Lepisosteus oculatus: one gene and its partner. The protein of the gene in region 2 purifies or fractionates together with the protein of the main gene of each other region. This does not show direct contact. Links are inferred from orthologs where the notes say so. Each region holds a gene or a part of one and is shown on either strand. Other genes may lie near its edges.

Region 1 (7,717 bases), on a different chromosome or scaffold from region 2:
GTCCTCTTTTGTTTGTCTTTTCCGTGCTGAGGAACCAGGACCCCCTCCTCCCCTCTGAGTAACCCTCCGCCTTTCCTGCGCTACCTCCCACTGTACAGAGAGTCGTCCCCTCTGTTGGATATCACCCTCCTTCCTCCTCGACTGCAGTCCCACATCATCAGATCTCAGGAGTTAAACATTGCTGTGCCAGGGCAGTGCTGGGATGGGTGACTTCGAGGGAAAATCAGGTTACTGCTTCAAGAGGTGGCGCTGTCCCCTCTGGACAGATATTCCAGGTGTGGTGACTGGTGACACTGCTGCAGGGGGGGCTGTCCTTCATACGAGACTTAAGAGTGCAATCTTGACCATGCAGTAATTAAAGATCCCATAGCTCTCTGCATAAGAACACCTGTGTTAACACCAGGTCTGCTGGCCTCCCTAAAATTTCCTCTTAATTCAGTTGGTGCAGCAGTTTCCCCCTCTGTCGGTGATCCACTGAGGAGCAGGGATTACTGGGGGTGCCAGTGCAGAACAGTCACTGTGTGTCACCGAGCGGGGGGTGCAGCAGGTCCCCTCCTGTGTGTGAGCACTACAGAAATGCATGAGCTCATGGTAACGTCCTGCGAGCTCCTGCGGCAGCTGGCCTGGTGAGAGGAAAGCTGCTGCAAAGCCATGACAAAGCATGGGGAAGAGCAACAGAGCTGCATCTGAGTATAACCCCAATGAGGCGGATGACAGTACAGAACAGTACAGAAATCCTATATTTGCATTTATTGACATACTGTATACAGTGCCCCTATCCATCTCTCTTGCTCCGTTTTCCTTTTCAGTTGAAGCTGCAGCTGCCCAGTGTTTTGAGAACAGACATGTTATTAATTCAGGTGGGGAGCTGCGTCAGCATGCGTAGGCTGCAAAGGAACAAGTAATAGGTTACCTCCATGCTGAAAAGAGAAGAAAGAGAACACAATGTTTTGGCCATGGAGCCTTCTTCAGGTGTCTTCTTCTTCTTCACCTGAAGAAGGCTCCAAGGCCGAAATGACATGTCATTAAGTCTGCTGATGACTGTGTCAGTGTCAGTCTGCTCCAACATGTAGACACTGATCATGGGCCTGGAGTGGATTTTTGGGTTGAATGGTGGAACAACTCCTGCCTTCAAAATAATGTCAAAAACCAAAGACATGCCCATTGATTACAATAAGCTAACCTTTTGAGGAGTCTGATTTAGTCTAGTGTTGAGACAGAAGAAAGCTGACCAACCATAGGTGCCTCTGAAAGCTGTTGTGGGGCCCAGGGCTAAGATAAGTCACGAGCCCAACCATTTAACTCTGTTCCCCACTATGGGAAACACTTGGAACAAAACTAGAAAATTCAGAAGTGAAAATTCCACTGTGACAGCATGGGCCCAGAAATCTGTGCGCTTAGAGCACATTATTTAGACATAAAAAGGTTTTCTTCCCAACACCAAATAATATATTTAGTGGAAGTCTTTCATCAAACTCGCTACACTTACACAGTGTTCAATCGTACAGTCTATACAGACCTGAAGGGCTTTTTAGCGACCTCACACTGCCCACTGCTCCTTTGCTCGCCTCATCAAGAGCAAGAAAGCAAATGAGACAACCATAAATAATAATAATAATAATAATAATAATAATAATAATTACTTACACTTATATAGTGCTTTTCTGGACACTCAAAGCGCTTTACAGGTAATGGGGATCCCCTCCAACACTCCCAGTGTGCAGCCCCACCTGCATGATGAAAATAAGACCTTAAAATACTTTTTTTTTTCTTACTATCAAATCTATTAATTTTACTATTCTTCCTCAAGGTAGTTTAGATTTTTGACACCATAACTTGTCCCACAGTTCTGGGAAAGATGCCTGTTGATAAAATGTGCCTGGTTTGTCATACAGTAGGTACCGTCACGTATCGCCCGATGCACATTTCCACGTATTCACGTCCTCAGCGAGGACAATAAAGGGGTTAATCCATTTATTATGTGTACATAGACAGTAATGAATTGTAATTGGGTAGCTGCAAGTAAGACTGCAAGTAGCTGGCCAGCCTATCGGATGGTACACACACAGGACTATTTAGAGATGTCAATTAATAATAATAATAATTATTATTATAATAATTCCTTACACTTATATAGCACTTTTCTGGACACTCCACTCAAAGCGCTTTACAGGTAATGGGGACACCCCTCCACCACCACCAGTGTGCAGCCCCACCTGGATGATGCACCAGTACTCTCCCCACACACCAGCTCTCAGTGGGGAGGAGAGCAGAGTGATGAAGCCAGTTCAGAGATGGGGATTATTAGGAGGCAATGATTGGTAAGGGCCAAAGGGAAATTTAGCCAGGACGCTGGGGTAACACCCCTACTCTTTTTGAGAAATGCCCCGGGATTGCTAATAACCACAGAGAGTCAGGACCTCAGTTTTATGTCTCATCCGAAGGATTTTACAGTAGTATCCCTGTTACTATACTGGGGCATTAGGACCACAGGGTGAGCGTCTGCTGCTGGCCCCATTAACACCTCTTCCAGCAGCAACATTTGCTTCCCTGGCGGTCTCTCATCCAGGTACTGGCCAGACTCACACTGCTGGGCTTCAGTGAGCTGCCAGCTGTGGGTCGCAGGGTGATAGGGCTGCTGGTGTATATCATGTCCAAAGTCTCACTTGACTCCGGGATCTAAGAGCAGAGAAGCAGTAACACTAAAAATTGTGCCATTAAAAAGCTAATAAGTTATTTAAAAAAAGGAAATGAGAGAGGGGTGAGGAGTTACAACACATTTGGTTTCTAGCAGCCAACTGACAGTAGGATCTTACCCTACCATTTCCTGAAGGAAACCAGGGTAACGGCTCCAACTACATGGCCGAGCATCTCCCAGGAGGACTGAGGCTTGTTGAGGAGGCCAGGGTGGGGAATGGGGCTGACGCAGCTTGAGGCAGAGGGGTAGCTCACACTTGGATAAGGGGTTTAAGAGTAAATGGCAAGCAAAGCGGGGAGAAAGGGGAAGCTGGGAGAAGCACCGCAGTTTTTCCGGGCAGACAGAAGGAGGAGCAGAAAGAGCTGAAACATACGGCTGCTGTAGGCAATGACGGCCAGCAGAGGGCAGGCTTTGACTTCTACAGATCAGGATAGTAGTAGAAGACGCATCTCTTCGTTCCTCATCACACTTGTAATGGGTTGAAGAAGTTCAAGTAGGCAGCTGTGTCAGCATGCATAGGCTGCAAAGGAACAGGTAAAGGTTTATTCCATGCCGACAGGACAAGAACAGAGACACAACGTTTTGGCTGTTGAGCCTTCTTCAGGTGTCACAGAGGTGTGGAGCTGTGGATTGGTCACATTCGGACAATTCAGGCACGGAGAAGGCTCCACAGCTGAAAAGTTGTGTCTCTTTTCTTTTCCTTTCAGCATGGAATAAACTTTTACCTGTGCTTGTTATTGGTTGTACTGTACCATCAGAATGTTTAAGGGAGAGGGGCGGTGTAAAAGATGTATCTGCCGTCCACACTACACAAGGGAAGAGAACATGAGAACATAAAAATGATAGAAATGTGATGAAGCCATTCAGCCTATCTAGGACACTTAATTGTTAGCTGCTAATTGATCCAATGATCTCACACAGCTGTATCACGAAAGAAGCCAGGGTATCAACTTCAACATGGCGGAAGAGCTTGTTGCACACTCCCACCACTCTCTGTGTAAACAAATGCACTCTGTTTTAAATCCAATTCCACAGTTTCCACTTCTGCTCTCTGATTTGTGGGTAATGGTTGATTGTGAAGAGATCCACAGGGGTGACATAATGATTTTGAATGCTTGGATCAGGAATCCTTTTCTTTTGCATTCAAGTTTTAAAAGGTTCTGTTCTTTCAGCCTGTTTGCATAGAATGTTCCTTTAAACTGTGGAATATATGTGGTTACTCTATTCTGGACAGATTCTAAATCAACCATCTTTATGTGACAAGGTATCTAAAATTATACACAATGTTGCAAATGTGGTCTTTCATGTACTAACATTTCTTGTTTTTTACTGTTTCACCACATTGTCTAGCTGATGCAAACAATGTGTGAACAGAATCATCCAAGAATTTTCATATCTAGCCCTCTGTCTCCTATCTTGGCTTTATACTTTTACTCCACATGTCTTCTCACAGAAATGTGCCCAGTCTTGAACTTCTGTCTTTCCTGCATCTAAAATGTTTGAAAATCCTATTTTGTCATCATGCACATATGAAGTAATATGAGATTGTTATTTTTACTAGGGAATGTTTGTACTTTTTTGCACAAAAAAACCAATATATCACTTTTTTTTGGTTTACAAGTAAATTAGTGGGTGGCATGGTGGGACAGGGGTTAGCAGCACTGACCTGAGCATCAATGGGTATGTTCAATGGGTACTGTATCAATGGGTATGTTCTCCCTTAGTTTATATTGGTTTCCTCCCCCAGTCCAAAGGCATACTGGTAGGTTAATTGGCTTCTGGGAAACTGGGCCCTGGTGTGAGTGTATCTGGAATAAACCTTTACTTGTTCTTTTACAGCCTATGTATGCTGATGCAGCTCCCTACTTGAGTTTATTCATATTTACTTTAACGTCACTCTGTGTAGATATAATAGCGGTTTCTAAATTGTGCAAATTCTTGCTATGTGCCCACCAGTCTCCGCCTCATCACCGCACTCCTGCGCTGGACGAAGCGCTTATTGAACTTGGATAAATAATCAGTACGTCATGATTGCTCTGCCTTTCAGTAGGGCTTTGTGAATATCGCGCTCGCAGTTGGAAGCAAACGAGTCTGGTTTTCTTCCGTAAATCGGCAGCGAGAGAATACGTGTCTCACTCGTCGGCCCCCGTGCTGGTGAGGAGACCCGGCGCAGAACCGCCTGCCCCCGGTGTTGCTCTGGCGTCGCTCCCCGGGCTTGAATCCCCCGCTTCTCCGGCCGGGACGTCATTTCCAGGTGCCTTTGCGTGTGTGGGCAAGGAGAGGGGGGAGAGAGGGAATATAACGGGAGACGGGGAGAGCGGCTGGAAGGGCTTGCTTGTGAATTAATTCGCTCAAGGAAGAAGATAATACTGGTACAACTCTGACACCGTCGCCGGAATCCATTGCGACTAGTCCCACCTGAGGTCGAGGGGCAGAGCGGAGGCGAGCCGAAAACACAGGCGAGCAACTCCGTGCCAGGATGCAGAGGGATAGGCGGCGGGCCTGCTGGCGCTCCGGCGGCGGCTGCAGCCGCGGTGTGTACCGGGCGAGGGCCCCGGGCTCGCTGGGGCCCAGGCGGGCACCGCTGCTCCTCCTGTCGGCGCTGTTCGTCTTCGTGGCCGGGCTTCCTGCTCCGTGCGAGGGGAAGGAGTGCGACAAGCCCTGCCTGAACGGGCAGTGCAGCACGGCCGTGGGATACTGCCAGTGCGACCCCGGCTGGGTGGGGGACCAGTGCCAGCACTGCGGGGGCAGATTCAGGTAAGCCCGGGGAGTGGGGAGTGGGGGCTGGGGGTCGGCTTGCGGGAGCTGCTGTCGTGGGGCAGGACGGCGTTTGTTTTTTCTCGTGGGGCGATGAAGTGCAGCCGGTAGTCGCAGAGGGACTTGAGTGCGGAAGTCTGGCTCCCAGACGTGCAGCACTGCACACACTGTGCTCTGGGGGTCCACAGTGTGTGATTACATTACGATGAACACATGAGCAGGCACAGGCAGCGGGGCCGGTACCGGCCCGGTCGCGATCCGTTCTCTTGGCTTTGTGGCGGACTCCCTGGAAAAGCTGGGCTGGGTGAGCTGGCCTACCGAGGGTCCTGGCTCCGGGAGAAACATGAGCACATGAGCAAGTTGGGGAACAGCGTCACCGGTGTCCTGTCACCTGGCGACCTGTGATGCGCTCGGGCGGCACTGCGGCGTCTCAAGCCTTGCTTGTCCTCACGCTGCCGAGACGAGTACAGCGGTACTGTCGCTTTGTGTCTTCATGACTTCGCGCTGTGCACCCCGCAGGCCGGCCCAGGGACCCAGGGCAGTTCACCTCGTAACGCCCTTCCCCGCTCTGGACATCTGCCTGCAGGGTTTCAGTGGGGGAATTATATCCCAGCTAAATAAATGTCAGTTTCCAGCTGCTGATAGTGCGTAGAGGGCAGACAGATGCTCAGGAGCTGCATGGGGTCCCGGGACACAGTAGTGTTGGAGCTGCAGGATTTCATTACAGAGAGTGTTCAGTCTGCATCGGCATTGATCAAGCCCTCGCCGGTGTACTTGAGGGTGCTTTCCAAGGAAATCTACCTCTGGTGTCTGAAATGTGGATTTTTGCTTAATTCTTGGCAGTCGTAATACCCAGTAATTGCAGGCCCATCATTAGTCTTCAGAAGTTCAGCTCTTTGTTCTGTAGAAAACATTTCATTGTTCCTGCCTTCAGAGAGCGAAATCTCAAATGGGGCTGAAAGTCTGTCTGGTGTAGGGGCTGCTCTCCTGGGTTTCCATGGGTGACCATCTGGGCAGAGGAGGCGAAACTGTTGAAGTTGTGCCTGGTGAGATGTGGTCACCTCAGAAAGGCAGCTCTCCAAGTGGACTGGTCACTAAAGAGAGCACACCTCTCAGGACTGCCTGCCCTTCTGTTTGGTGTGGTGTTTAACAAAGAAGAATCTAGGCAAAAATGACATAGCGAAGAAATAAATCTCTGGGATGGTTGACCTAAAGATCTCATCCAGCTGTTTTCCTTAAAGAAACCAGGGCCTCAGCTTCAACAACAAGGGTGAGTAGCTTGTTCTAGACTCCCACAACCCTTTGTGTAAAGAAGCGCCTCCTGTTCAGTTTTAATTGCACTTCCTTGTAGTTTCCCCTTATTCTCTGGGCTGTTTTGCTGTTTGTTCTGAAGTCGCCTGGGTTGGCTGTGTCAAGGCCTGTGAGGTTTTTGAATACTTGTATCAAGTCCCCTCATTTTCTTCTCTGTTCAGGACTGAAAAGCATTGGGCTTTGCCTTAAACCCCAGAAAGTATCTGGTTGCTCTCTGGACAGATTCCAGAGGAATGGTATTTTCTCTGTTACAGGGTGACGAAAATTGTAGACCATGTTCATAAGGAGGTATTATTAGTGTGTTATACAACTTTAACACATCATCCCTCAATTTAAATTCTAAGATTTATACTATGTAGCTGAATATATTGCTTGCCCAAAGTCTTGTAGATATAGCCTAGATAATAGTAGTTCAGTAGCCTAGATAATGTCAACATAAAGTCCTGTTTTTTGATAAGTAATCTCTCCAATATCAGCATTTCCTGTTTTGTATCTAGCTTGTAGATTTCTTTACCTCCACGTGATGCTCTGCACTTTAATGTCTCCCAGTTTGCTTGAGTTTTGTGTTTTTTTTATTTTTATTTTTGATTTGGTGTTTTTGCCCTGTCATCCTCACTCTCCTGATTGTATGAAAAGACAAGATCAATACCTGCATTTTTTTGCAGCTGGTCTGACAAACTGGGTGACAGAGCACATGTTAACCTTATGTATCATTTCCGTTTCTGTTGCTGACATTCCTTTAAGTTTTTCCAGTCTGTTTTCAAAACTTCTTTGAATATTAATTTCAGGAGATGGTCATAAATTCTCATCAATGGTGGTCTACACCTGTAATGGTGCTCCTTTCGCCAGTTCCTCTAGCCTGTAGGTGCCGTCCTGCGTGTTGACTCCACTGTGTGTACGGTGTGCTGGGTGTGCAAGACCCCGCAGAACCCTCTGCAGTCTGAGAGAAGA
Region 2 (7,443 bases):
GAGAGTTCTGCAGCTGGTAGCGAGGAACTATCAGCCTGTGTGAGGACATTACTCTTGACACCTGTGCCACTACCTCGTCACCTGGCTACATATACAGGACTACGAAGGTAAGATGTTAAAGAAACGTCCTGAAAACAATGCTTCAAGGCACATTGTCTGTAATTTCCTAAAGTTCGAACTTCTTCATTGTGCTGTCTCACAAATGAGCCAAACAATACTGAAAAGTCAATTCAGGGGTATGACGGGCAGTTAATTTTCTAATAAAACGATCTGCAGTAATCTGTATTCCAGAGGCCTCTCTCCTCCCGGTCTCTCATGTGACCCCTGACACAGAAGCACAAAGCATGATCCCACCAGGAGGGACAGGGAAAACCGAAATCAGGGTCCAGGACCCAAGGCTATCAGGCTACCCATGCAAGTAATAATAATAATAATAATAATAATAATAATAATAATAATAATAATAGCAGCTTACACTTATATAGTGCTTTTCTTGACACTCCACTCAAAGCGCTTTACAGGTAATGGGGACTCCCCTCCACCACCACCAATGTGCAGCCCCACCAGGATGATGCGACGGCAGCCATAGTGCACCAGAACACTCACCACACACCAGCTATCAGTGGGGAGGAGAACAGAGTAATGAAGCCAGGACCAGGCTCATCTGCTTAGCTTCAGTGGGTTGCTAGTTGTGAGTTGCAGCATTGAACCTCTGTAGACCAGGTTGAAAAAAAGGCACATTTTCCTGGGTAATCAATTTGCCTACATAAGTTATCAGCAGCCATATCACCCTGGAACTCACAAGTGGTAACCCACTGAAGCTAAGCAGGTGTGAGCCTGGTCAGTACCTGGATGGGAGACCTAAAACTAAGGTTGCTGCTGGAAGAGGTGTTAGTGGGGCCAGCAGGGGGTGCTCACCCTCTGGTCCATGTGGGTCCTAATGCCCCAGTATGGTAACGGGGACACTATACTGTAAACAGGCATAGTCCTTCGGATGAGATGTAAAACCGAGGTCCTGACTCTCTGTGGTCAATAAGAATCCCAGGGTGTTTCTCGAAAATAGTAGGGGTGTAACCCTGGCGCCCTGGCCAAATTTCCCATTGGCTCTTACCAATTAATAACCTCCTAATAATCCCCATCTATCAATTGACTTCATTACTCTGCTCTCCTCCCCACGGATAGCTGGTGAGTGTTCTGGTGCACTATGGCTGCTGTCACATTGGTGGTGGAGGGGAGTCCCCATTACCTTTAAAGCACTTTGAGTGGAGTGTCATATATATAAGTGTAAGGAATTCTTAATTATTATTATACAAGTAACCCTCTCTGCTGGTCAAATGAATCTCCCAACCAATTAACTGACTTTTTCAGTCAATAGGTTTAAAAGACAGCACGATCAGAAACAGCCGCATACTGTAGTTCAGAGCATCTCTGAACCTCTCCTGCACATCTGCGAGTTATTGAATACCCGTCAGAAGATCCTAGATCAGGAGAGGTGCTTAAACTGTGTATTTTAGACCGGGACTGTCCAATTCAGAACTGTTAATCCGGACACGCAAAACTGAAAGATCGTTGGGGTTTAAGTGGTCCGGTTAAGCCAGTAACCCAGACGGTTTTGGTTTTCACGAGCAGCACTTGAATGACAGCTCGCAGATACTCCGCCCCTCCAGAATCCGAGCTAGGACAGCCCTTTTATTAGACGGAACCTCAAACTCCGGTCGGCTACATTGAATCTGTCCTTTCCGCAAACACTGCGACTGTGCAGTTAACACGGAGAGACAATAAGAAAACTAGCCCCATGATGACGCCGCAGACATTATGCTGCGCCTGAAATCTCCGAGACTTTCTACATCTGGAAAAGCCAGATCTTCCGGGACTTCAGAGATTTGGAGTATCTGTATTACAGATTCAGGCGTGTTTTTGAAAACAGAAAAAAAAAAACACAGTCGATTTTGCGAGCTGTACCAATGGGACAGATTTTCTACTGATGTTGCTATTTATTATTAGCTATTAAATACTAAACGTATTCTGACCAATGCCAGAAATTATATCAAGGACCGAAAAAAATGAGAGGATACACCGAAACGAACATCGCTAAGCAAAAAAAAGGGGTTTTATTTATATACCGGCTCTATATCTTAATTGCCCAATCCCACCAAAAACCAATACAAACTCACATTAATTAAGTAATAAAAAAGATCGTTGCTTTAAGGAATTCAAACACAGAGAATCCAATCTGTAAAGTTTACACTTAACGAGGGCCAGATAGAAACAATACAGAAACTTCCAACTCAGATGTGTATCCAGAAACGCAGTGTTAAAGATGAACGGAATTCTTTCTGTACGGTTTTGCTGAAGAGCCTAATTAATCATGACAAAAAATCACTTTTATGTTTAATCTTTACGACGATTTTTAGCCTCGGAGAGTGATATTCTTACCTGCCTCCATCCTCCGGCTGTCAACTGGGTTTAAAGCGGTGAAATAAAAAAATAGTGCGCGCTGCACTGTGGGGAATGTAGTTCCTGGTGGTGGCATCTCTAGGCGACGATAGGGATCATAAACTACAACTACCGGTAGGCAATGTTATGGTACTAGGCGTTAATAGAAACTGAAAACACTGAGGTGCGTTGTGGGTATTGGTGTTTCACGGGTAGGTTTCATTTCCAGTGCCTAATTCCGTTATTTTTATTACTAGTACTACTACTACTACTACTCCTACTTCTTAAAATGCTTTAGAGATTTTGTTCTTCATCCAAAAGCAAAAACACTCCAGAAACTCTTGTCCAGAGATTTATGTCTTTCCACCACCATGCTTGATAAAAGAGCAAGTACAGTCCAGAACGGTTGCCCAAAAAAGAATGAACCCTAAAGTGTAAACAGATACTGTACTCGACAGTAATATAACTGCCCACCCTCTTCAAAACTGTTCCTACTCTACACTTTCATTGTATGATCCAGTATTACTGCAATTTCTGAGCTTTGTATTGTAATGCTTTTCTTTTAACAACAATAGTCTGTACTTTTAGATCTTGGAATTTGTAGCTGTTAGTGTTTTCGTGTGGTGGTTGTGCTACATAACATGCTACATGTTATTGCAGCGCACTGATTTTTTACATATCACATTTTCTTTTCTCCAGTATAAGAACTGCACAGGATGGGCCCATCTGCGATATATAAATAATTTCTTTGATACAACATAAAGGCAAAGTCCGACAAACATAATCAACTATGAACACATGGGTTTTTCTAAAGGTAATACGGTCATCTTCAGTATTTTCCCAGTGTCTTAAATACAGTACTTGTTTTTTCATTGTATAAAACAATCAATGATTGGTTGCATTTGATCCCAAAAGTGCTTTACAAATAGGAGGGGACCCACATCTCTCTCACTAAACTACACCATCCTGCACCAGCAATACCAACATACAGCAGACCAGGTGGTGAGGAGAGAAATTATTTCACCATTTAATTTAGGGAAGACTTTAAGAAGGCCTGCATTTCCACATTGAATTGAATGTATTCAGAAAACTGGGGTTAATATCCCTAAAATTTGGAAAAGTGCAATTTATTTTTACATTTAATAACCAAGAAGTCAGGAACTCAGTTTGAAAGTCTCAATGAAAGACGGCACCTATTTCAGCACACTGTCTCTGTCACCAGGCAGGGACATTGGATTGTGAATTATTATAATGAATGTACCCAGCATCTATATCATACTGTAACTCACAACTGGCAATCCACTGAAGTGCAGCAGGTTTGAGCCTGGCCTGCACCTGGATGGGAGACCTCCTGGGAAAAGCTATAGTTGCTAGTGGAAGAGGTGATAGTGGGGCCAGTAGGTCCTGACTCTCTGTTGTCATTAAAAATCCCAAGGCACTTCTTGAAAAGAGTAGGGGTGTAACCCTGGTATCCTGGCCTCCTAATAATCTATGACTTGGCTTCATTACTCTGTTCTTCAACCCACTGATAGCTGATGTGTGGAGAGCCTACTGTCCACAGTTTGGTTGTCATTTCATCGTTAAGGTGGATGCTGCACATTATGCAAGAAATTCTTTCTTCTTATTATTATTAAATTCTGTTATGGGTGAAGAGAACCACTTACTGGTCCACCAGTGCTACTTATAGCAGGTGCCCAGTTTTCATGGCGATCTACCATTCCAGTACTGACCAGGCCCAGTCTTCTCAGCTTTTCAGATCTGGCAACACCTTCCTAATTTGCCCTCTACTATTACTACATTGAGTCTTTATACCTTATATGATGTTAAATTCTATTTTGAAAGCTTGTAATGATACCTTTTTTATTTAAAACGGCGATTCTGACTCGTAGATTTAGATTGCTGTGTCTTATATAATGATGGGTCAATCTCCCTTACAAGTGAGTAGGCGGCTCCTGACTGGGGTAACCATGGAAACGAGACAGCTCCTACTGCCGTAAAGCACCCTGATGTAGACGTGAAATTGTCAGGTCCGTTTACGGGTGGTTTGTGTCGTCTTAGATCGGCAACAAAATAAAAAGGAAAAGAGGCATATTTTTTCGGTTCTTTTGCAAAACATAATCAGGTAATGGGTAATACTGCTGCTTTCGGGAAGTTTGCTTAAGACTGCTTATGTAAATACGATGCATGTAAGCGAGTCGTCTTGATGATGAAGGTTTTTTGAAAGGATGTTTTAAGCAGAATCCAATTTAGTGGATCTGTGACGGCTTAGGTGCATCCTAAATTATTTCTTTTCTTTGCTGGAATGTATTTATATTTTATACGATTCTTGGCGTGCATCTGTGCTTAAACATAGGCATCACCCGTTAAGGTACGCTTCGGTTTAGCTCGGGAGGTCCAGGCGATGTCGTGTGTTTATTAATTTGTGATGTAATGGTTTACTATCGGCTCTCCGTTGCGGTGCAGAGTTGGGGCGTACCTGTGGGATCGGTGTGTACCCAGATGAGCGCATCCGATCCGAAGGGGGCGGATGTGAACTCTCCTTTTCTGCGCTTGATGGAGATTTCGTTCTTTATGTTACGATGTTTATGGGACCGCACTCGTGACGCAGTAATTTTGTATTAAAAATAAAAGCAAATCTGGAAAAATGTATTAAATCTTTTCTCGCTTCGTTAACCGTACATGTTTTTTTTAGGGTTAATGTCCAAGTGATGACAGGCTTTCATAGCCCAGTGCGAGTTTGAGGGTGTGACAGACGCGCCGCCTATCTTACCCCAACACCACTTCACTAAAAGTTAACTTTCCAACACACCCTTCCCGGCGCTTGTTTTCTTGTCCCGCAGGTACCCTGGACTTTACCGACACCCACTCAGACATGTCGTATGTCTTCATCAATGACTCTTCCCAAACGAACGTGCCCCTGCTGCAGGCTTGCATCGACGGGGACCTGAACTACTCGAAGCGCCTCCTGGAAAGCGGCTTCGATCCCAATATCCGGGACAACCGCGGTCGTACGGGGCTGCACCTGGCGGCGGCCCGCGGCAACGTGGAGATCTGCCGGCTGCTGCACAAGTTCGGGGCCGACCTGCTGGCCACGGACTACCAGGGCAACACCGCGCTGCACCTCTGCGGCCACGTCGACACCATCCAGTTCCTGGTCTCGAACGGGCTCAAAATTGACATCTGGTAGGTGCAGACCCCCGTCTGTCCCATGTCAGAGTGCTGGGAACTCTTCCGCCCTTTGGGAGGCTGGGGCCTCAACCCGTCTCCTTGTGTTCCTGGCACAGCAATCACAACGGCGCCACTCCCCTGGTGCTGGCGAAGAGGAGAGGGGTCAACAAGGACGCCATCCGGCTGCTGGAGGGCCTGGAGGAGCAGGAGGTGAAGGGCTTCAACCGGGGGGCACACTCCAAGCTGGAGTCCATGCAGCTGGCCGAGAGCGAGAGGTGGGTGTGGGAGGAAGAGAGAGCCTTCTGGAGTACTGCTTGTGTACCGTTCTTTTGGGTCTGGCAGTCTGCCGAGACCCAGTTTCTAAAGTTCCGGCCAAAGCTGACACCAAAGCTGTAGTACTTTGTCTTGTTACTTGTGTGTGATTTTGGTAGTATGAAACAGAATGGTACACGAGGAGTGCACCTGTGATTTGTAGGCACATTTACTGAAGCAGAAAGGTTATGAGACTTGAGCTTTCTAAAGGCTATTCCATCAGTGCCCTCTGCAGTTTGAATGGAAACAGCCTCATAACTTTACTTCTTTACCATCCGGAGTGGTTGATGTTAATGTGTTTTGCTAGCTAATGATCAACTTGAAAAGACTTCTCCCTTCCTGTACCGGCAATACTGTTTAATGAGAAAAGAGCTTCCAAAAGTTTTACCTCAGATAACCTGAGAACACGTAAATGGCAAAACCTTTCAAAACTTGATTCCAGCATCACATCTGCGTCATCTGATACTGGTTCAGTTCAAAAACAGGGCATTGGCAGTAAATGTCAGCAGCCATATTACCCTGCAACTCACAACTGGCAACCCACTGAAGCTCAGCAGATGTGAGCCTGGTCAGTACCTGGATGGGAGACCTCCTGGGAAAAACTAAGGTTGATGCTGGAAGAGGTGTTAGTGGGGCCAGCAGGGAGTGCTCACCCTGCAGTCTATGTGGGTCCTATTGCCCCAGTATGGTGATGAGGACACTGTACTATAAAAAGGTGCCGTCCTTCTGATGAGATGCAAGAGAGAGGTCCTGACTCTCTGTGGTCATTAAAGTTCCCAGGGTGCTTCTCGAAAAGAGTAGGGGTGTAACCCCGGTGTCCTGGCCAAATTTCCAATTGGCCCTTACTAATCATGGCCTCCTAATAATCCCCCTCTATGAATTGGCTACATTACTCTGCTCTCCTCCCCACTGATAGCTGATGTGTGGTGAGCGTTCTGGCGCACTATGGCTGCCGTCGCATCATCCAGGTGGATGCTGCACATTGGTGGTGGTGGAGGGGAGTCCCCATTACCTGTAAAGCGCTTTGAGTGGAGTGTCCAGAAAAGCGCTATATAAGTGTAAGCAATTATTATTATTATAATTATTATTATTATTATTTCTCAAAATGAGAAGGGATGGAACCCCGGTGTCCTGTCCAAAGTTTGCATCTTGGCCTCCTAATAATCCCCATCTATGAATTGGTTTCATTACTCTGTTCTCCTCCCCACTATTGGCTAATGTGTGGTGAGTGTTCTGGTGCACTATGGCTGCAGGTACATTGGTGGTGGTGGAGGGGAGTTCCCATTACCTGGAAAGCGCTTTGAGTGGAGTGTCCAGAAAAGGGCTATATAAACTCAAGCAATTATTATTATAAATGCCTTACTTTCACCCCAAATTACAATAATCTGTGCTGTAAACGTTAAAGAAGCAGTTTTAGACACTGAGACAATAGAATGTAATGGTAGTGTAACTGTTAGTGTTGTTGCCTCACAATTCTTTGGTGAATTTTTAACCACCTTATGGAAGGAGTTTACATGTTCCCCACCA

What was found. Proteins that work in one complex are often made in the same cells at the same time.
Region 1: the proteins of ankyrin repeat domain-containing protein 46 (region 2) and atrn purify together in Homo sapiens (co-immunoprecipitation; 3 studies listed by BioGRID and IntAct, with this or other methods). This does not show direct contact. The link is inferred for Lepisosteus oculatus from reciprocal best matches to the Homo sapiens genes ANKRD46 and ATRN.

What each region holds. Positions count from the first base shown.
Region 1 is NC_090696.1:1,300,314-1,308,030, forward strand, and holds the start of atrn (attractin), read left to right. Parts: upstream 1-4,709; 5' UTR 4,710-5,177; coding exon 5,178-5,455; intron 5,456-7,717. UniProt on the Homo sapiens protein: Involved in the initial immune cell clustering during inflammatory response and may regulate chemotactic activity of chemokines. May play a role in melanocortin signaling pathways that regulate energy homeostasis and hair color.
Region 2 is NC_090703.1:40,734,928-40,742,370, forward strand, and holds the start of ankyrin repeat domain-containing protein 46, read left to right. Parts: upstream 1-4,439; 5' UTR 4,440-4,558; intron 4,559-5,276; 5' UTR 5,277-5,308; coding exon 5,309-5,619; intron 5,620-5,720; coding exon 5,721-5,879; intron 5,880-7,443. Other genes in the region: cysteine protease ATG4A, read right to left, coding at 2,437-2,446.